Linked DNA regions of Zea mays. The main gene of each other region encodes a partner of the protein of the gene in region 2 in a complex. Links are inferred from orthologs where the notes say so. Each region holds a gene or a part of one and is shown on either strand. Other genes may lie near its edges.

Region 1 (7,674 bases), on a different chromosome or scaffold from region 2:
CGTAACCCCTGCGGCCGAGGCGACTTCCCCTGCGGCCGAGGCGACTTGCCAGTCGATTTCCGGCGCTCCAATCCAGCTGCGCTCCTTCAATCTCCTAACATTGGAGCCCGATTGAAGAGCCATTGCTTTCCCGAGAAGTTCTAGGTAATCCATCCAACTTGAAATACATCGAGGTTTCTATCGATTCTTGAAGCTTTTTTGTCGATTTGAAGTCGGTTTGATTGTTTCCCTTAGTTTTATATTGTGTGTGATTTGTATCCGATTATACATTTCTCTAATCGGCTCATTGCATCGCTCATTGCATCTCTCTTTGGTTTATATATATATATATATATATATATATATATAGAGAATATTTGTGGAGTTCACCTACACTCTACTCACCAGGGCACCACCCTTAGCAGGGCTGAGACAATTAGCATTGTAGCCAAGGGCGCATATAGAGGAAAATAGAGGGGGTTGCGGTACTTTATAAAAATAAAAGGTATGTCCGAGTTTAAAAAAATGTGTTTAAATTTTGAGGGTAATAATTGGATTTTTGATTTTCTAGCCATCGCGTCCACACTTTATAACCTAGCTTCAGTCCTAATTGTGGCCATCATACAACACTCCACCTACTATTGGATAGGGCTAAGTACTTACTCCCTCCGGTTCAATTTATAATTTTTTTGATTTTTTTGTCAAATTTGACCAACTCGGCTTTTTTCAAAAAAATTATGACAAAATAAAAAAAATTCAAAGACATACTTTATATATATGATATGTTAAATGATATAACAATAATCATTAATAATAATTATGATTTTTTGAATAATACGAGCCGGTCAAACTTAGGATAAAAAAAGTCAAACAAATTACAAATTGGAAAGGGAGAGTACTAAAAAAATACTTACGTGGTACATAACCACTATTCCAGCTGTTGCTGTCGACGGACACACCGGACAGTTCGATGGTGCACCGGACAGGACACTGTTCACTGTCCGGTGCCTGCCACGTCAGCAAACCGTTGGAGTTTGGAGCGGTTGACCGTTGAAGTCTTTTGTCCTCTTGCTGCACTGGACAGTCCAGTGCGTCCTGACTTCGCAACTCTAACTTATGACTTCTGCATTATGCTCTTTTACTGTTCATCGCAGTCGACCGTTGGGTGCAATTGACCGTTGCTCCGTTGGCTCACCGGACACTGTCTGGTGCACACCGGACAGTCCGGTGAATTATAGCGGAGCAACTCCCAAAGAATCCCGAGAGCGGCCAGTTCGCGAGTGCCTTGGCCTGGGCACCGGACAGTGTCCGGTGCGCCACTATCAGCACTAATGCTTGTCTTTGCTCTAAACTTTGTTGAGTTCATAACTTATTTTCTTTGTTGGTTTGTGTTGATTTTTAAGCACCTGAGATAAATAACAATTAGGCAAACTAGTTAGTCCACGTGGTTTGTGATGGACATCAAACACCAAAATCAATTATGGGAAATGATTAATCTCATTTCCCTTTCAGAAAAGGCTTAGGTTGGGGATCAAAAGGGAGGAGGGAGTTGTACCATCGCCGAGTAGGACAAGCTCAAAGGAGACGCCAGGCGGCCTCGAGTTCATTGGCGACAGCGAGGCGGGGTCTTTCACGACAGGCGGCCTCAAGCCCATAAGCACGTCGAGGTCTTCCATCGCGCGGCACCGCGATGAGTGCCGGGTAGAAGGACACTTGCGCGACGACGACGTGTGGGGGTGGGGGGTAGCGTGCGCATCTGGGTGGTGGGAGCGTGGCGGTCACGGACCTATGTGTGGGTGGGGAGCGCGGTAGCCACGGAGGCGGGGGCATGGTGTACTCAGTGTGGATGTCCACGCTCAGTCCTTATAGAGTAGTAGAGACTGGAAACTTCTGGACGCTAAAATTCTCCACTACAAATTATCATGTGTAAGAAAATTTTACCACACTTTTATAAACCATTTACGAATGAAACCAGTATAATAGGAGAAAGATCTTAGCATGCCCCTATTTGTTTCGGCTTCTGGCAGCTTCTGGCCACCAAAAGCTATTGCGGACTGCCAAACGCTCAGCTTTTCAGCCAGCTTCTATAGAATTCGTTGGGGCAAAAACCATCTAAAATCAACCTAAACACATAATCGGTTGAGTCGTTGTAATAGTAGGAATCCGTCACTTTCTAGATCCTGAGCCCTATGAACAACTTTATCTTTCTCCACACGTAATCGTAATGATACTCAGATACTTCCCACAGCCACATTCTCCCCATAGCCAGATTTTCAAGTTGGTCAGAAAAAAGCTGAACCAAACATGCCTCATAGATTGCCACATATATGGCTAGCCAAAACTATCTAATCTAGCAATGAAACTCGGGCAAGCGCGGCACCGAAAACAAGTCAGGGAGCAGACGTCCAAACAACCATCCGTTTCGTGTCCGTTGTGTCGGGACCCTGCCGCGTGGGCCACTTCACGGTCTTGACCTAGTCCCGTGCGTTCGTTGCTGGGCCGCCTCGACCGCAACAAAGACTACAGGGGGGAGACACATCTCTCCCCACCTCGCTTCGCACCTCTCCAGCCGCCGCCTCCTCCTTCGCCGGCGTCGACGATGGGTGACTATGGCCACGGCGGGGGGCAGATGCGGGGCAACCCGGACTCCCGCCCCAGGGGCCAGGGCCAGCGCCCTAACGTCCAGCAGCTCAAGCTCGTAAGCCACCGATCCCCTCGTCTCCCCTGCTAAACCCTAACCCTAGCTGCCTGATTCGTCTCTGATCCGTGGTTTGGTTTCACCTCGCTCGCAGATGGGGCAGATCCACCCGACGGGGCTCACGCCCAACCTGCTTAAGCTCTTCGAACCGCGTCCACCGCTCGAGTACAAGCCCCCGCTGGAGAAGCGCAAATTGCCGGCCTACACCGGTGAGTCGACGGATTTTGGGATTGTCTAGTAGATGTTTTCAAGGGTTTGCTCACCGATTGTTTGGTGTGGCTACTGATTTGGATGCAGGGATGGCACAATTTGTGTCGCACTTTGCTGAGCCCGAGGATCCAGAGTATGCTCCGCCAGTACCCAAGTGTGAGACCAGGGTATGTTTTTGTCTATATGCTGAGTGTCATAGGTTTGCCTGCTATCATATCTGTACAACGTTCTCTAATCAGACTTTGTGACTTGGTTTCTGAGGTAGTCGAATTACACCACAGTGCTAGTGTGCAACTGGATGGTGTGCCAAGTATTTTTCGTAAAGAATTACATATTGTTAGAACAGTAGCTTCCGAAACCTGCTTGTAGCACACGATATCTACTGAGCGCATGATATTTTGGGCATTTCTGGTCAACTTTAGTAGTTGCTTCTGCTACAAAAGCATGCATGGTTTGACTATGTTCTGGATTTTCAATGTTTTGAGATGATATCATGCATTCAACTGTGTGAAGGCATTGTCACATTTCTTTCTGCTGAGATCACATGGGCCTAAATCATTCTTGAACTGCACAAATTCTCTCTCTCTTAATAATGCATTGGATCATATCTTACTCAATTTTGGGGCATATCTTAGCATTGTTCTACCCTTTACTATTTTATTTTATCCTGCACCTGATTATTATATATATGCTCTATATATGCAGGCAGAGAAGAAGGCTAGAATTCGCAATAATAAGCTCGAGCAAGGCGCAGCTAAGGTTGCTGAAGAGCTTCAGAAGTGTACGTCCTTAGGGCATGGTGTCACCCCAATTATTTTAAAGTTATGGTTGTAATAACATCATTGTTCTGATTTGGTTTTATGCAGATGACCCACAAAGTGACCCCAATGCTACTGGAGATCCATACAAAACACTCTTTGTTGCTAGACTTGTAAGTAATTTTGCCTGAAATTATTGGCAGTTTGGCACATTCCTTAGTCCTTACTGATGAGAATTTGATGGCAAGTTATCTTTGTAAAACCAAGCTAATTGGCTTTGCCATTGTTGCAGAACTATGAGACATCTGAGCAGAGGATCAAACGCGAGTTTGAAGGTTATGGTCCTATTAAAAGGGTAAGTAATGTGGTAATTCCTGTGCAGGTGAAGTTATTGCACTTTGGTAAGGTTTATGGATTTTTCAATCATTCTAAAATGTAAACAATCATTGGACAAAACTGTGGAAAAGTTGCCTCATTAGTTTATGGCTTCCTTTTAAGCTCCTCCGACAAGTGTTTGCAACACCAGGGGTCCTTATAACCGCTTTCTTGCTCCATTTCATATCTAGAATCAAAATCTGCAGTTTCTTCATTTCCTTTCTGGTTTCTGAAAACTTCTCTGGAAATGCTTTCAAAGAAACTGGGAACTCTCAGTTTCATAGTCATTTTTGGTAAACTTAGCATCAATGTTTTAATTGAATTTTTGTTTTTGGAGCCAACAACTTGTTTGCTCTGTTTCACGCACATGTATAGTGTTTGCTCTAGAATGTATTCCATGACAACTTTTTTTTTATGGTTTTGAGCTGTGAATTTGATCATTTAGCTGTAATTCATTTTATTTGATTACTTAATTATGAAATTGGTTCTAGAATAAAATATTTTCAGTAGTTTTATACAGTTCAATGCAATGATGTAAAATTTTACCTAGTTAAGGGTATTTAAACATCAGACAAGAAATTTTTCATGGGGAGGGGTGTGGAGTAACTCTTGGCAGTTGTGTTGTCCTAAACTAAGGAAATAACAATCATTTCTGTGGCACAGAAGGTCTACAACTCTTCACAATCTCTCTTTTTAAGCGATCTTTATACCTTTTGGGGCTTAGATGGAATACATTTCAAATGGAAAATTATATAGGGTTCAGGCATATGTATGCTCGCTGGTAATTTAGTTAAATCTTTTGGACTTTCATTGGAAAGCCATTTTACTATGTGCATGGTTGGTACAACCAATTAATGACAAGGCATCTCTGGGAACACAAATATGCGTAAACAGGTAATTATGGCTGCACCTGTATGTGGCCCAGGTTCTCTATTTCCTAGTACTTTTTTGTCGTCAGCAAGAAATTTCTTGAGAAGAGCAAATTGCTTCTAACGAAGGTAGTAAATGGTTGAGCTGTTCTCTCATTCCACAGATTTGCATCTACCATAATGGTCAACTGGGGGTAAACAAGCTTGAAAAATGCTGACAGTGGCACAAATTAGCATAGATCACTTTGTATTTTTCAAAAAGCAGCTTGTCTGTAGACAGGGATTTTCTACTGTATGTAGGCTTAATTGGGTAGGCTTGCTGGTGAGTATAGTATTTATAGTTCCTTCAGATTAGCTATGAAAGCTATCACTGCTACCAAATTTTGGTTGTGGAGCAATCAGCAACCTTACACAATACTAATTGCATCTCTCAACTCCTAGAGTCGAAGATCCATCGATTTTGTGCATAAGGGGTATACATCACTCACTTGGTATTTATCACCTTTCTGTTAACTTCGTTATCATTCTGTTTGTTTGGAAAACGAAGGCTGAACAAATTTCACCGATGGAGGGCAACTTGGTATAGTATTTAGTTCTATCGTACACCCTTTCCTTTAGTATAAAATTCCCTGGTAAGGGGATATCCAATTTATTTCCCAACGTATGCCAATCGGCCAGACAGCGCTTTTCCTCCAACTGTGTTGATCTGTGCTGGATTTCACTCCTCGTGTGGAAGCTCTACATGTGCAAGGTTAGCACGGCTGTTTTAGGCTTTATGCCTGTCTGTCGTGCAGCATAAAATATGCTAAAAATTAAAAGAACAAACACAATTACAACTAAAAATATAACATATTCTTAACTTCAGGGGAACTTTCTTATTGAATATTGTTTCATTACTAAATTTGATCTTTCCAGGTTCGTCTTGTAACTGAGAAAGATACAAGTAAACCTAGAGGATATGCATTCATTGAGTATGTGCACACACGAGACATGAAAAGTAAGTTTCTCTTTTTGTTGCAAATTTTCCGTTTGGTTTATTCTCTTTCATAATAGCTTACATTTTCTCTGCTAACTTGGGTTCTCACCAGATGCCTACAAGCAAGCAGATGGGAGAAAAGTGGACAACAGGAGGGTATTAGTTGATGTTGAGCGAGGCAGAACTGTTCCAAATTGGCGTCCTAGGAGATTGGGTGGTGGGTTGGGATCAAGCAGGATGGGTGGTACTGATACTGACAAAAAGGATTCCACTAGGTACATCTGTTTCTCATTTTGATCACCTGTAAAAAGTTATTGCTTTTAGAAAGAGGCACTGGAGTCAAACTCGTCAGTGATGCTTATACTGGTCATATGTGTTCACTTTGCTTCTACATGTTTGTTTGTTCCCTTTGTCTTTTATATGCTTTTCTGTAGGAGGCCTTCTGTACCATCTGTGATCTGATACATTGACATGCCATTGTTGATGTTGAAAAGTGTGATGACCTTGGTGTATTACTTGTGCTACATTTATGTTGACATTACGATATCTGATTGTTGTTAACACGTATGCATATCTTATTATCAGGGAGCAACAACAAGGTGGACGCCCTAGATCAGAAGAGCCTCGGAGGGATGATCGTCGTGCCGATAGGTAAGCCATGGGGATTGTTGTGTTGATATCATACTTTTGATGCTTATTAATTGCTTCTTCGTGTGATTATTTTTACTTGAAGGGATCGTGAAAAATCTCGTGAAAGGGTACGGGAAAGAGACCGTGAGGAGAGGACCCGTGAACGTTCGCATGACCGGACTCGTGATAGAGATCTACGAGATGAGAAGCATCACCATAGAGACCGTGAGAGGACTCGGGATAGGGAGAGAGGAAAGGACCGTGAAAGAGACCACGGCCGTGACCGGGAGCGTGATCGTCGTGACAGGGACAAGGATCGTGGTCGGGACTATGATAGAGAAAGGGACCGTGGTCGCTCTCATGATCGCCATCGTGAGAGAGGCAGGGACCGTGGTGAAAGAGATTATGAGCGCACCAGCCATGAACGTGACCGTGGTCACATGCATGAGAGGGATGCAGACTATGGCAATGGTGGGACAAAGCATGACAAAAATCTGTCTAGTTATGGGCAGGATTATGGCTATGGTCAGTATGAGCAACACAAAGGTCATGATGCATATGGTTACAGTCAAGATGTACGTGGACATGAAACTGAACACTCAAAGCGGCATGAGCACGAATATTATCGTGTTGACTCGTATGGTAAAATGGAAGCTAACTATCAGATGCCGCCAAACAATGCTGAGCCAGAAGGCCCTGAGGAAGGTGAGGCATATGAGGAAGGCGACTACCAGTATCACCGGTCTGGTGAACACATGAAGGAAGCTTGATTGCAGCGATGAGATTTGCCTGCAGCTTTATACTGATACACAACGATGGTTTCAATGTTGGTTCTTTGTATGAATTAGTTTCAGCTGCATAGTGCCTGTCAGTTGTGTTCTTCCATGTTGGGGAATTCTCAAAAGGAAGCAAAATCTTGCCCAACTGCGTGGATTTTTGAATTTGAAGCCTATGGCTGCCAATATCTTGTGGAATAAGATATTTGTGTAATCTGGTTGTGGAGATCCATATGATCTGCCGTTATCCATCTACTCTTCTGTTAAGAAGTTTTGTATGACAGTTCCTTCAAATTATTTGTTCCAACATTTTGCAGAACTTCAGAATTGTTGTTCTATTTGGCCTTCTAACAAAAAGTTGCTTGGTAACAACTGCAACCTTTGTCCTCTACATCCAAGCACA
Region 2 (7,684 bases):
GTGCGGAAATGTCACACACTCGTTCGGTTCGGTTCACAAAAGACTAGAAAACCAAGTGCCAGGGAAACCCACGATGGGCCCGATAGTCCTTTTTTGAAGCCCATTTGATAGCACATGTCAGACACGAGCAGATGCCGGCCCATCTCGAAGCAAAGTACTCCTACGGACTACGGAGACAGGATGATTTTTCCGTTCCATCTATCGGCTGTCTTTCTTTGTTTCTCGTCAGTCTGATTTCTTCCCTTTGTACGTGTTGGCAGCTTTCTGTGGGCTGGCTGCTCCCTCAGCCCCAGCAAGGACTTGTTTAGTTATTCCCATTATATATAAATTGGATTAGATTAGAAAAAATTTAGAAAAACTTTGACTTGTTTGGGATTTAAACCCACCCAATCCCACTCCATTCACATAGATTGAGAGTTAACCAAACAAATAAATATAGACGTGCAGAATATCGTTTTGCAATGCAAACTGCTACATGTGAAATGGTTTTATCAAACGGTTTACCAAAACTGTTTTAACTCCACGAAGTTATTCATGACGTTGAAGAAGAAAACACAAAGTTGGAGAAAGAAAAAACGGCTTCGCTAGTAAAGTGAAAGTGTGCCAAACGAAATCTGACTCATCATCTCACACAGAAATAGAATATGATGATGCTAGAAATAATAGCTTATCACAGCTTCATCACACACCCGTCGGTCCTGTGAGCCAAACGAAACCTAAATCATGATCTCACATAGGAAAAGAATATGCCGAAGCCTAAATCATGATCTCACATAGGAATAGAATATCGTGAAGCTGAAAACAATAGCTTTTTCACAGCTTCAAAACACACTCATCGGTCCTGTAAGATTCTGTAAGAACAAATGTACATACAAAGCTGTCTTGCAAATGATTCACCAAAACAGCTTTTAACTTCACTGAGAAAGTTGCTCGTAAAACTAAAAAACTGAGCTGTATGCCTGTTTTGCAAACGGTTCGCTAATCAACTTTAACTTCACTGATAAAGTTGCTTGTAAAACTGAAAAAAAAGGCAACGTGTTGAACCAAACGGTGTCTTAATGTTCATAAGGTGGAGCCTCTGAGCCAATTGTTAGTACCGCATTATTATCATAGGTGTGTCCGTGTGTGGGGGAAAGAAAACATGTGTGCATACTGCTTCAGTAAATTTGGAACTGTCATCAAATCTCTGATTGCAAGCGTGCACAGAAACATATATACTCTACTACAAGATAGCAGTAAGCAAAGTACGTTTTGCCCCAGTTTCAATCATCTGTTGCTCATGCAAACAGCAAAGCAATGTCCACGGTAGTTATAGCAATCGGCCATGCATTCATTGCATATATGTGCTCAATTATCAGGAAATTTTAAATCTCTTTTAAAGAAACTCATGAAACTTTAACAATAAATATAGATCGACCAACTTGATACAGCTCTGCATCAAAAACAAAAAACAAAAATTGCCCTATAAAGGTTTGCTTCTTTGTAAAATGAACAAATGTTTACATGAGAATTAGAACAAACCAGGATCCCAATATTTATAAGGGCAGAAAATAACTAAAATTCAATAAAAGCTACCTTGAAGTATCACAAGTTCACAGGGTAAAAACTGGATATAGGTAAGTTAAGGACACTGCAGAAAAACTGAAAACTAATGTCAACCAAAAACTAGAGCATGACTGAGACTCCACTCAAACCAAGCACACTGAACTAGGAAATGGAGTCACAGATAACCACAGTTCGCATGACACAGCAAAATCTTATTGAGTACAACAGTAAACCATGAATACATCCCCGCAATAAAAAGCAGAAAGAAATAATCTAATAGGCACCACCAAGAAATTCATAAACAGAATGAGCACATGTGCAGCAACCATGGCAACAAATAGCCACGTTGAGTCCATCCATATCCCAAAATGATAACTGATGAAATAATAGAGCCCAATAACATGTATCGTAAGTTCGTAACAATTGATGGAACATGGATAAACGAAGCTCATAGCTCCTATAATGAACAGATACACGCATAGTACATAGACATCATAGGATCCATATAGTACACTCTTAAGCACAACCACTGAAAGTAGGCACATGAGCTATAACAGCACAGGAGCCATGCTCTTTCTTATCAGAGTTCAGCTTCTTATGACATTCTGCTAGAAGATATTTGAGAAAGCATTCCAAACCTGCAGAAGCAGAGCAAATACCTCAGCGCCCCCTTTCAAAGTTGATGCGGGACCTCCCAGATCCACCATCATAATCATCCCTCATTGAGGACCCACCACTCGCCTTCATGGTTCCTCCACCTCCAATCTTCTCCACAGCTTTCTTACCCTTCTTCACCTCAGTCAAGAACTGATCCAGACCAAATGGATCATTTTCTTCCTGCTTATCGAACTCCACAGGCCTGTCTCGCTTGCCAGTCCTCTCTGAAGCACCAGTAAATCCCTTGTCAGGCTTGAACCTCTCAGTCTTCATAACCTTCTCCAACTGTTCATCTGCATCACCATATACATCAGAATCCCCATCCTTCTTAGGCCTGTATAGCGTGGACATCGTGGACTGCGCTGTGAAGAGACCCTTAGAGTAGATATTGTACTGATCATCTGTGGCAAAACCAGAGTCCATTCCCTTGTCCTGGTTGAACAGACGCTGGTCATACATAACCTCACCACCTTTTGCACCACCAGTGCTTGCCATACCAAGAGCAATCTTCTCACTGATATCACGATCCCTGTCCCTTGTGATCTTACTCTTCTTGCCCATTGCAGCATCCTTGGCTTCAAGCCTCCTCTCCCTCTCCCTCTCGCGTCTGCGCTCCTCACGGATTCTATCACGCTCAATCCTTCCTTCCCTCTCTTCTCTAGACTCCCTGCGCTGCTCACGTGATTCCCGTGGTTCACGCGGTTGCTCCATATCCATAACTTCATCAACATCCTGAATTGCTCCCCTGCCACCACCAGCAGGCACACCTGATGGTGCAGGTGGGGCACCAGTCCTCTCCATACGTGCCCTCTGTGCAAGTGCCCTTAGCTCTTGCTCCTTTCTCTCCTTCTCCTTCAGCATAAGTTCCCTCTGAACCTTGGAGCGCATCTGCACTGCCTCCCTCGCCTTCTGCTCTGCCACGTACAATGCTTCAGAAAGCTTTGCAAAGTTATCATTGATCTGCACCTCCTGCAGACCCCTCCCATCAGCCGCCAACCTCTTATCAAGCGGAATCGTGTAACCCTTTGGATTTTTCCAATTTGAAATACAAGGTGGGATCTTCCAATCCTGCTGGTCCTTCACTGTAACTGGCCGTGGCGGCGAGTGCATCACTGGTACAGGTGGTGACCCAGACGCCCGGGGCACACGCTTGTGCTTGAACTTTGGTGGCTCAAGAGGATCCACCGCCATCTCTGACATCCTAATGATCCTCTCCTTTGCACCTGAATTGAAGGCCGCGGATTGCTGTGACGGCTTATACTTGATGAACTTGGACTCAGAATCATGAGTCGGCACATTCTTGGGCTGAGCTGCAGAGAGGCGGACGTTGACAACCTTCTCCAAGGCGGCCTTGGTCCGTTCAGTTGTCTCCTCGATCTGCTTCTGCTCCTCGTCGTCGTCCGACGTCGCCTGGGAATCGGCAGTGGCTATCTTCGGCACGAGGTCGCTATGCTTAGAGTAGACGATCTTGCCTGCGTTCTCCCCCTGCTTGACGACGGCGTCGAAGGCGACGCTGCCGTGTGCGTCGACGGTGAGCGCAAGGATCTTGGATCCGCCCTTATCATCACGGCGTCCCATGCCGAGCGGATACTGCGCGACGTGGATCTCCGGAAAGGCGCCGCCATCCCCGAAGTCCTCCGGCCGTCGCGGCACGAACCCCGTCCGCTTTCCGTAAGGTGGCACGGGCCGGGCGGCGGCCGCGGGCCTCGTCGCCGCGGCCGCCTGCGCCGACTCCCCACCGTACCGCTCCTTGAACCAGGGGTCGCTGCTGTGGTCGTAGAAGGTGGACGCTGACGTCTTGGGCGCCGGTAGGAGATCCTTGAGCGTCGCCATGGAGGCGGCCGCGTGCACGGCGCGTAGGATCTGCGGCTACCTAGGGTTCCGGCGAGTCGCCTGGTGCCCTGGTGGGGGGTCAGGGGAAATCGACGAGGAGGACAAGCTAGGGTTTGATTCTAATTTGGGGAAAGTGATAAAGGGTGTGACTGAGAAGGCGGCTACTGGCTGGGCTGGGCTGGAGTGGGCTTTTTGCAATTTGTAAAGGCCCGTTTCAGAAGCGAAACCAGTAAACTCTAAATGGGTCGATGCAAGAAATGGCTTCTATTGGCCTGCGCGCTCGGTGGTTTGGTAGCTCATTTTTACATTTTAAAATATTCAAAATTTTAATACTATACTCTAGAACTTAAAAAATGAAGAAATGAGTATCTGCTGTCCGCCAATGGATTGTAGGCAAGGTCGGAGCTGAGATTTGGGGGCCTAGGGCGAACATAAAAATCGAGCCTCTTCTAATATTTCTTGAGATAAAATCATCAATGGTTGTGTTGATCTAATATAATATTTTTCTCAACGTATAGGTGGCAAAACCACTCAATCGTTCTCAAAAAATTGTAGATCTGAAATAGTTATTCAATTATTTCAATATCGAAAAACTCATTTCAGTTGATGCCACCATGACAGGTATAATAAATAAGACTTGATAATTTATATAAGCAATAGAATAGAAATCTATCTTATTGACATACTAAAAACTCTTAACTCGGAAATTAGATTATTTAATTCAGCATTAGCTCTCATATTAGCTATATAATTAACTATATGATGTGGAGCACCTATGATTTGGGGGCCTAGGGCGGCTACCCGTCCGGGTTGGCCCTATGCCAAGAGCTGGCCCTAATTGCGGGGACTTAATTATAAAAATATTTGAATGTTCCTATGAATTAAATATTTATTTGGATTATTAAATAATCTATACGCAATAATCCACCATCTAGACAATTATATAAATAGAAATCTATTAATTACTAACTATAAGATTAAATAACTTATACAATATTTTTAAGCTAAACATTACATCATGGCAATGCACAACAAAACATGTGCATCAGATAAGGTGCACCAAATAGGACACCAATAGAGCTTAAAGAAGAGATCGCATACACTTTATAACCATCGGACTTGTTTAATGCACCACCAGACATATTATTGAACAGGATACTCAGAGAGCATGTAAATTATGTCTAAAAGGTCGAGTACTCAACGTATTTGTCCACCATGCTACTAGTTATGGCATCAAGCAGGATAATCAGAGAGGTTTGCTACTATATGTAACTAGAGATGATAGTGGAGTACGCGTGTGGATAAATAACCACGGATAATTATTCATTAGAATGGATATGGTGGGATTTGTTATCAATGGGTATTGATATTTATGCAATTTAGCATTTTTTGTAAAAAACATATTTGGATTCTTAACGGTTTAATATCGTTTTTGGGCCCTTTGTTCGGTGTCATAGACCATGCCACCAAGATAACACGGCTCAGCGTCGTGACCTATGGCGCCGAGATCATAACTACGCTGGCATTTAGGTACACTACTGGCAGCTGACATGCCGCCGAGGTCCTAACTACGCTGGGAAAATCGAGTTGTAGCGTTGATTTTACAGGACTATTCTTTTCGATGCATGTTTTCACTACAAGAAACAAGGCAGAGAGTGTCGGTCAAAAACTCACACTCTTACTGAAATAAGCCAACACTCTTAGTATAAGAGTGTCGGCCAACTGACACTCTTAGGTGACCTGAAATGGATGCTCTTATTCGTATAAATGTGTGGGACTGACACTCTTACGTTAAGAGTGTCGGTTCAGCACGCAACCGGCACTCTTATGCTAAGAGTGTCGGCCAGTGACATGGCAAACATTCTTATTGTGCGCACGGTCCCTAGCCTAGCTGTGTCATATAAGAATGTGTGGGCCGACATTCTTACTGAATAATTTTTTTTAATATCCAGTTTTATTTTTCTCCCTCTCTGGATGGGAAGCCTCCATAACAGTTCAGTAACAGCACAATACAAGCACAATATTCAATATATCACAACACAAGTACCATATTCAATATATCATAACAAAAGCATCATATTCGATATTTATACAAGTTCAAGTCCATAAGAAAGAAGTTCAAATCCATTTGAAACAAGTTCAAGTCCATACAAAACACAATGCTAGTAAGTTTCACATAAGCCTCCATATTAATTCATTCCGTCCGTGGGTCATTGAAGCCGCCGCCACTTGTATTCATTAATACAAGTTTCTCTTCGTACTGTTTTTCTTCGAACTCCTGTGAGCTCCTCAGCTCCACCGCATCCTCCATTTTTTTGCTTCCCAAAAGAGCTTCCCGCTTGCTCGGAGGACGCTCATCTGTTGAATCGGATTTCCGATCCGGAGTGTTGCTCTCTACAGAAGGCAGACCCACCAACTTGAAACCTTGAAACCTTTTCCTTATCCGTGTCACTCGACTCTAGCCCCTGCCCCTCTGCTTGCTGCCCATCCATTACAACCGTAGCCTTCAGGGACAGCAGCGCTCTCCAATGCACCAGCATCAGCAGGCGGCACTTGTGCTTCCAAAGAATCCTGCTGCTGCGGGCGCAGAGACGAGTCCACCATCTTGGACGACTTGAACTTCAGTTTGACACGTCGTACACAGCCCCCACCTTGGGCCTGCTGTACATTATGTCCGCAGGGGCGGATCCAACAGGTGGTTCATATGAGCCATGGCATACTTTAAGATCACATAAAATTAGTTAGTAAAGTGGTGTAAGTGTTGTGTTTTGAACTTAGCAGTTAAGGTTCAAGTCTTGTTAATCCTTATTTTTTGTTTCTTTTTTTAATAGTTTTTTGTCACACCCTAATTATAGCAGCTGGGTCCGTCACTGTGTCCGCTGGAGGATTAGCTGGCGCGGTGGCACTGGGCTCCCGAGGTGGCTCAGAAGCTTGGTTTCGCGGGCTGTCCGACGCCTCCGTGCTGGAACTGGACGCGGATTCCGGCGAGGTGGACTCATATGTATTTTGTCCCAAATCACAGGGAGCGGCGCGTGGTGGAGGCGAAAGCGAGCGGGCTCGGTGGCGGACTGGGCAGGCGGATAGCAGCTAGGCAAGAGACGCGCTAGGGATTAGGTTAAATTCTATAATAGTGTCGGTGTGGAAAAAACTCACTTAAAAAGTGTCGGTTTCTGCGTGACCCCGACTCTCTTAAATTAAGAGTGTCGGTGCAGTAAAACCCACACTTTTATCCAGATTAAGAGTGTCGGCCCCGACACTCTTTAAGTGATCGACACTTCTTCAACGTTTTCTTGTAGTGTTTATCTATCTAGGAGTTTTGCTTTTTTTTCATATATCTCTTGACAGTTAGTCGTATGCTAAACCTTTTCCAGGTGCTTTCTGGCAAATTACAATTTTTCTGTAAAGTCAATTTTTGAACTTAGCGATATACTAGTTATAATCATACATGCTATTTTTATGTATTTTTTCTCTAAAATTCATTTGGGGATCAAACTATGATTTTTATAGTTTTCATTTAAAATTATCCTTTACTGACTGTTTCGACTGGGCTCTTTAATTAGGTAGTATCTTCTTCTCAACTTAATGGGATCGCATCGTTATCTTCCTTGCTTTATTATTTCAAATGTACTATTTATTAATTGTATTAGGC
Region 3 (7,684 bases), on a different chromosome or scaffold from region 2:
ATTATGGAAGACCTGGGCTCCTCCTAAATGCAAGTTCTTCCTTTGGTTGGCTATAAGGAACAAATGTTGGATAGCCGACAGATTACAGTTGAGGGGAATGCCACACCCAGATGTTTGCCCCATGTGTGATCAAGCCCAAGAAACAATTCAGCACCTACTTACTGCGTGCATTTTTGCCCGGCAATTTTGGCACACTAGTCTTGCTGCTATTGGTTTGGGGCACCTCACTCCAACAGCTGATGAGGAGAATTTTGCAGACTGGTGGGGAAAGGCAAGCCTTAGGGTTGTCAAGACGTGACAAAAGGGGCTTAACTCTCTAATCATCCTGGGGGCTTGGGGTCTATGGCTTCAGAGAAACAGAGCAGTGTTCCATGGGGAGGCTCCCTCATTACCCACGATTTTCCGGTGTTTCTCGGATGAATACGTTTGCTGGGTAATAGCAGGAGCTAAGGAGTTTGGGAGCTTGGGCTCAGTTGCTGCCCTGGGCGTGATCGGGTCAAGTTTCAGCAACAATCTGTAATCACTTTCGGGTTTATAAGGGGAGAGTTGCTCAGCAACATCTCCTCTGTTGTAATATGTTTTTTCCTCTCTAATATATAAGATGCGCAGTTCTCCTACGCGTTCTAGAAAAAAATCATCAAAGGAGTCATCCAATTGGGTGTCCATAGTCTTATTCTCACCATTGAAAAGATTGTCAAAATAACTCTGCCACCGTTGTTTGATGTCTTGTCCTTTCACCAAGAGTTGATCCATCTCCATCCTTGATGCATTTAATTTGGTTGAGGTCCCTCGTCTTCGTTTCCCGAATCCTAGTCATCTTAAAGACATCCTTCTCCCCTTCCTTTGTACTTAGTCTTCAATAAAGATCATCATAGGCTCGACCCTTTGCCTCACTCACAGCTTGCCTTGCAGTCTTCTTTGCCACCTTATACATCACTATGTTGATCGCGCTCCTATCATGGAACAAGCTCCTGTAACATTCTTTCTTCTCCTTTATTGCCTTTTGAACGTCCTCGGTCCACCACCAAGTATCCTTAGGTTCACCTCTGCTCCCTTTGGTCACCCAAAACACCTATGACGCCACCTTCCTAATACAAGTTGCCATCTTCATCCGCATGTTGTATGCATTTTCTTCTTCGAACCAAGCGCCCTCCACAAAAACTCTTTCTCTAAAAATTTCGGATGTCTCCCCTTTGAGTTTCCCCACTTCATCCTCGCAATTTTGGCTTGTTTATCCATATGGGTACGGATCCAAAAACGGAAGTCAGCCACCACAAGATTATGTTGGGGCACAACACTCTCCGGGTATCACGTTACAATCCAAACATGCTTGTTTATCTTCTCTCCTTGTGAGAACGAAGTCGATCTGGCTCGAACGATGGCCACTGCTAAGTCACCAAATGAGAATCTCTCTTTCTGAAGAAAGTGTTGGCTATCACTAGGTTGTAGGCTACAGAAAAGTCCAAAATATCCTCTCCTTGATTCCTACTAACATACCCGAAACCTCCATGAGCCAGCTCATAACATGCATTTGTTGAACCTACATGACCATTGAGATCTCCTATGAAAAGCTTCTCATTGGTGGGTATTGCTCTGACCATGCCATCTAAGTCTTCCCAGAACTTCCTCTTCTCGCTCGCACTGAGACCAATCTGAGGGGCATATGCACTTATAATGTTCAAGACTACATCCCCCAAAACTATTTTGATTAGGATAATCCTATCTCCCTGCCTTTTGACGTCCACCACTCCATCCTTAAGGGTCTTATCAATCAGGATACTCCATTTTTGTTTGCCACTGTTCCTGAGTACTAAAATTTGAAACCAGTGTTCTCCACCTCCTTCGCTTTTTGCCCCTTCCATCTTGTCTCATGCACACATAGGATACTAATGTGCCTCCTGCTCGCTACATCGACTAACTCTCTTAGCTTACCTGTAAGGGACCCTACGTTCCAACTACCTACACGGATCCTAGCCGGCTCAACTAGCTTCCTTACCCCTTGCACCCGTTGAGACAGATGCGAAGACCCTTGCCCATTTGTCACTACACCCGGGCGCCGATGTAGCGCGCCACTAAGGAAGCGACGACCCGATCCTTGCTCACTTGACACCGCATCCAGATCACGACACGACGCGCCACCAAGGGGCTGGCTGCCCGGCCCTTTCCCATTTAACACCATACCCGGGTTCCGATATGGCACGTCGCTAAGAGGGTTATGCCCCAACAGTTTTCTATGAGTGGCTAAGTTTTTATAGCTTGCTTGCCACGCCTCACGCAACCCTCCTACTTGTACATGGACTTGGGACCAGGCAATGCTGCACCAACATGGTTTTTGGGAGCAGCCTAAAAATTATTGGGAGTGGATTTTCTTTTAATCTCCAACAGTTCCCCTAAATATATACCAAAAATAATTTAAACTAGGTCAGATCATCTTTAATGCCCGCATCCATTCGAGCATTATGTCATCTTTGACCTAGGTAATCTTTCTCACGTTATTTTTTCCCACTGTGTTGTAGCTGGTAGGTAGTGGAGCATAACTGGGGGACAGGGTGGCAAAGGGGCATCGTAGACAATGAGCCAGTTGACGGTGAATAGCTGGCGTTGGATGGCCGGCAACGTATGGGTCGGCGATGGGACGACGTAGGTAGTGGTGATGGGGTGCCGGAAACAAAAATGGCAATGTAGTGGCGGGAGTACTGGTGATGTGGCAGTAGGAAATAGTATTGGAGGAACCAAAAGTCTCCCTATTAGTAACTACAAATGAGGGGAGTTTTGGGGCTATCAATAAGTTGGGCAGGATTTAGGGAAGCTGTTGAAGGCTAGTTTTTTTGTTTTTCCCAAGAATTTTAAGCTAGGGAAGACTTTAAATAAGATTTTGGAGATGCTCTAAGGGAATGCTAGATAGACTTATGCTAGTTAATATCATAAATAAAAAATGTGAACATTCAGCTCCATACTACATTCTCACATTAATAGGATACTGAAATTGCTGTCTTGCTGAGACAGAAAATGTTACTGACTTGTTAGGAATTAGCATATGCCCTGACCAACCAACACTTGTTTGCAAAATGAAAAATCGAAGAAAGGTACACGTTAAACAATTGCAATCCACCTTGTAGAAGAGATCCTCAACCTCCCTCTCACGGATGTCCCCAGGGAGATTGCCTACATAGATGGTACGGCTGTTGCGCCTGCTCATTGTTTTCTGCAGTTAAACACGGGTAAGTACATCATTGTCTCAAAAATGGGAAAATGCTGGGGCAAACACAACGAAATTTTAGCATGCCAAAGATAGTACGGTCACCAGAATATGGTTCTCCAAGAATGTGTCATTTACCTAAAACCCTACACCAATTTTCTAAGGAGGCAGTCATACAATGGTAATAGCAAGAGACAGAATTTTGTTTGAAATATCCCAGTCGAAAGTCAAAACAACAGCATGGTAATACCAAGACACGGAATTTCATTTAAAATATCCTAGTCGAAAATCGAAACAACAGGAAGAACATGGTGGCCTATGACTATATGCCGAGCATTATTAAAAAAAATGAAGTAGCAGCATCCATGAGACCTTGACCAAGAAAGAATGATGCTTCAACAGAAATTGTAACAAAGAGCACTATGAGTCTATAACATATTCTCTAGTTGCCTTTTATGTGTTAAAAAAAATGTACAAATCTGCACTGTATGTCACCTACTGATACGCGCTTAATCAAACTACACGGGTATTTCAAACATAATAACATGTACCGTATTCAATCATGCATCAAGGCTTCTATGTTTTATGTCATTGCAGCTCCAACTCCAACCTTACATCACACTGACATGGGCCACCGTGGCGAACTTCAACAAAGAGAGCCCCGGAGGAGGTTCGCTTAAACAATTTAGGCAGAATGGCAGCTGCAAATGACGAACAAAAAACCTAAAAGAACCGTGCAAGGGTGGATTGCCAGGGGTCTACTCAACTATCGTCAAACAAAACCGGAACGAACTCAACAGCTACATATAACTATATAAGGAGAGATTGAGTTGAGATCCCACGCAATCAGAGGAAAGGTAGGGACGAGACGACGAGAGGAACAGGCGGCGATTACCATGGAATCAAAATCGGAGCAAACTGGGAAGAAAAGCTAGTGGGGAGTGTGGAGATTAGTCGTGCCGTGCGCACCTCCTGGCGAAAGGGGAGGGGCCTCGACCTCGAGAAGGTTCGGGGTTCGGCAGGCGACGCCGCGTGGTGGAATACTGGAACCTGCGACAGGAGTCCCGTGGTCGTGGTGATATAGCTGGCGATGGGCAAATGTGGGTGCGGGACGCTTCGAGATTCGTGCGGTAGACCGCGACGTTGCAGCCTGCAGGCTGCAGGCGTGCTGTGGCCTCGTGGGCCGCCATGGGTTTCAGCGGCGGTGGTCTGATGGGCCGTTTTTGTTCACCCTTTGCAACAAATAACATCTACTTGACCTATACTAAGGGTCTGTTTGGTTGGGCTGTGGCTGTGGAAAAAGTTGCTGTGGGCTGTGAGCTGTGGAAAAAGCTGCTGTAGGCTGTGTGCTGTTAAAAAGCTAAAAATCGTTTGGTGGAAACCACTAAAAGTCGTTAAAAGTTCTTCGATATATGTTTTCACAGTTCCATCCAAAAGCCACTAAAAGCAGGTCCAGGGGTGCTTTCAGTTTTGCACTACGAGAAAGTCGGCTTTTAGAAAAAGCTGCTTCCTAGATCCAGCCCTTTGGTTGGCTTTTGGCTTTTAGGGGGCAAAAGCCAAAGCCAAAAGCCAAACCAAACACACCCTAAGGCTATCCGCAGTGGAGGTTACCCTATATCACTATTTATAGTCTAGGCATATAGATTCCTTACTATATTACAATCTTTTGCACTTATATCTCTACTAGGTGAGTGTCCGTACGTTGCAACGGAAACATATATCACGATAACTTATAACATTATAACTCATTTGTACATAAGTTATCATGATAAATGTTCTTCATGATAAATGTTCTTCTTGCAACGCAAAGGCACTCATCTAGTCACAAATGAAGTAACACAGACAATAACATGTAGGTTCTGGTAGCTTTTTGAGCCTAAACTCATATTACTCGGCAAACTTCAAGCTTACCACCAAACCAGTAAATACATATCAGTTTATTGCTCATTATTAGAACTGTTGTGAGATGTTGTATGCCAGTAATAAAGATTCACTACAGTACATGGCTAAAAACCCATAGAAACAATCTATATGTGATTGCGTAATTCGTAGGTGTAGAACACCACCTAACCTGCTTCATGCTCAAACACTTATCAATTACAATACTATAGGACAATATGATGCTGCAAAGATGGGGCAAAACCATGTTTCACAAAGTTGTTATTATAATTATCGACACAAGGCCTCATTGATGATCATCCTTGTCATAGTGGTCGTTTGGATAACCACCATCACCAATGACCTTGAGCTGCCCAAAATCAACAAAATAATATTTTAGTCAAGTGCTAATCAACAACAGCTAAACATCTTTTATAACAATCAGTCAAGGCAATGGTTTCTGTTACCACAAAGTATTGTGAGTAAATTGGGCACTCATGCGGTTAATCCTTTTGCAACCAAAACCAGACAACATCGTGTTCATCCTCCACAATAAATCGCGATGAAAAAATAAGCACAATTATTACATACCATGGTTAGCGTAGATGTAACTCCTTCGCCACCAGATCAGCCAACTGTTCTCTTGTTATTGTAGGATTCAATCATAGTCGGTTCCTCCTGCAAGCAACATCGTGTTCATCCTCCGCAATAAAGCGCGATGGAAAAATAAGCACAATTATTACATACCATGGTTAGCGTAGATGTAACTCCTTCACCACCAGATCAGCCAGATGTTCTCTTGTTATTGTAGGATTCAATCATAGTCGGGTCCTCCTGCAGGCAACACATTCAGAATTAACAAATGTACAATCTTGCAGCACAAAAAATCTGGTATGCAAAATCAAAATAATATACTTGTTTTCTTAAGGTGGTACTTTATATTGTTCAGATCTTGTAGCATAGAAAGTCTGGAAAGAAAAAAATAAAAATAGAAGGGGGTGAGGGATCAAGAACTTCCACACATATCTAGACCAAATGCAAGCGGTGTCAGTACTCAGTATGGATGGGTGGGCATGCCCAAGGTTGAAGAACAGAACCTGATATATAAAACACTGGTATTTAATTCAATGCTCCCAAGTGACAAGGTAGTGACAAATAGCTATACTACAGATTCCATGTATATGGTTGACTGCTGGTGTATCTAGAACAAGACTGAGACAATGCAGTTTAAGCATGCACATATCAAATACTTTGTAGTTTATGATATTAATATTAGTAACACTTGTGCAAATTTCTCTTCACCTGACCAAATACTTGGTATGATCCCTAGAGTCAGAGCTAAATTACAGGGCACCTCACTTTAGTACCGAAAGGGGCCGGCGGGAGGATCCATGTCAAATTGCTTCTTCCCTTGGAGAATCAGGTCAATGCTGAAAAATAAAGCATATTATCATAATTATAACTAACATAGTAGGTCACAGGAGTAAATGATGTAAAATAGTAATATTGAATTTTATTACATGTGCCCTCTTTCTCGATTCAAATAAATTACACTTCCTTAATGGAAATGTACATATGGCGTGATCAAATATGTTCCTGGCATTAAGATAACAAATTTTATGTATCATACTCAATATTCGCTATTCCAAAACAGAAGGAACAGAAGGCACTATTGGCATTCAGGGTTTCCGGCACACTGGTACAATTGTTTGGACCCATCTCATTATTAAACAATGTTCAGGCATATTTTCTTACCCAAAAAATAGTCAAACTTCCTGGCTTTCAACATCTCTGACCACATTTGCATTGTCTTGTTGGAATCGAACTTCCTGGCTTTCAGAAACCTGCGTTTATCATCGAGAGAATGCACAGGATGAAGTCATTAATGGCAAACGAGGAATGTATATATTTATATTAATACAACATAGTCAAAAGAAGCATCCACGTGCGCGGAGAGGGTACTGAAATCTCAAGATTAATCGAGAAAAGGAGAAAAATATTCACCATTAGATTATATGAAGACCTAATGATCTAAATTAAACCTATATATAAAATGTAAAAACTACAAAAGAAAAGCACCAAACTAATCGTGGTGTTACACAGCACCACACCTCAACAATAAAATGGTGGCCACTGGCCAAGCCAGCTCTGCCTTTGCTCAGGCATCCCAAGAAAAATGCAAAAAAAAACCCGATGCTTTGCGCTCGTTTCTAACCAGGTCGGACATATCAACACTCGTTTGTTCACTGAATTGCTACGGAGAAGAAAGTGGAAACTGATCAGCTAAGAACTTTGGAGACGACTCCAACACCGACCGGTCTTCCTCCTTCCCTAAGCACAAATCTTTGCCCTGCATCAAAGGCATGAGTTGACTATCCAATATGAATTTCTTTAGTATTCAATGAAAAAAAGTAGCTTGGAGCGTGCAATGGCATCACGAAGCACAACATGTTGTCAGAAGACCTGATCTATAGTTCTATACTGTCGAAAGAAATTGAGAATGCAGTCGTTACCAGGTTCAAGAGGAACAAGTGATATCAACTCAAAATTCGTAGTTACATTATCACCGGGCAAAACCATCTTCATCTCCCCAAGCAACTCAACTCT

Evidence for each region.
Region 1: pre-mRNA-splicing factor prp45 (region 2) and U1 snRNP share a complex: the UniProt entries of both Arabidopsis thaliana proteins name them as parts of the spliceosome. The link is inferred for Zea mays from reciprocal best matches to the Arabidopsis thaliana genes SKIP and U1-70K.
Region 3: pre-mRNA-splicing factor prp45 (region 2) and pre-mRNA-splicing factor SF2 share a complex: the UniProt entries of both Arabidopsis thaliana proteins name them as parts of the spliceosome. The link is inferred for Zea mays from reciprocal best matches to the Arabidopsis thaliana genes SKIP and SR30.

What each region holds. Positions count from the first base shown.
Region 1 is NC_050100.1:42,240,930-42,248,603, reverse strand, and holds U1 snRNP, read left to right. Parts: upstream 1-2,497; 5' UTR 2,498-2,578; coding exon 2,579-2,677; intron 2,678-2,771; coding exon 2,772-2,886; intron 2,887-2,974; coding exon 2,975-3,054; intron 3,055-3,592; coding exon 3,593-3,668; intron 3,669-3,753; coding exon 3,754-3,818; intron 3,819-3,937; coding exon 3,938-4,000; intron 4,001-5,804; coding exon 5,805-5,886; intron 5,887-5,977; coding exon 5,978-6,140; intron 6,141-6,450; coding exon 6,451-6,516; intron 6,517-6,598; coding exon 6,599-7,265; 3' UTR 7,266-7,607; downstream 7,608-7,674. UniProt on the Arabidopsis thaliana protein: Mediates the splicing of pre-mRNA by binding to the loop I region of U1-snRNA.
Region 2 is NC_050099.1:184,589,870-184,597,553, reverse strand, and holds pre-mRNA-splicing factor prp45, read right to left. Parts: upstream 4,161-7,684; 5' UTR 4,036-4,160; coding exon 2,206-4,035; 3' UTR 1,863-2,205; downstream 1-1,862. UniProt on the Arabidopsis thaliana protein: Splicing factor involved in post-transcriptional regulation of circadian clock and flowering time genes. Associates with the pre-mRNA of PRR7, PRR9, ELF3 and GI, and is necessary for the regulation of their alternative splicing and mRNA maturation.
Region 3 is NC_050098.1:57,766,175-57,773,858, forward strand, and holds the start of pre-mRNA-splicing factor SF2, read right to left. Parts: upstream 4,254-7,684; 5' UTR 4,098-4,253; coding exon 4,095-4,097; intron 4,020-4,094; exon of another isoform or gene 3,751-4,019; intron 3,206-3,750; coding exon 3,113-3,205; intron 1-3,112. UniProt on the Arabidopsis thaliana protein: Regulatory splicing factor that modulates alternative splicing and gene expression in specific cell types. Autoregulates its own expression. Probably involved in intron recognition and spliceosome assembly.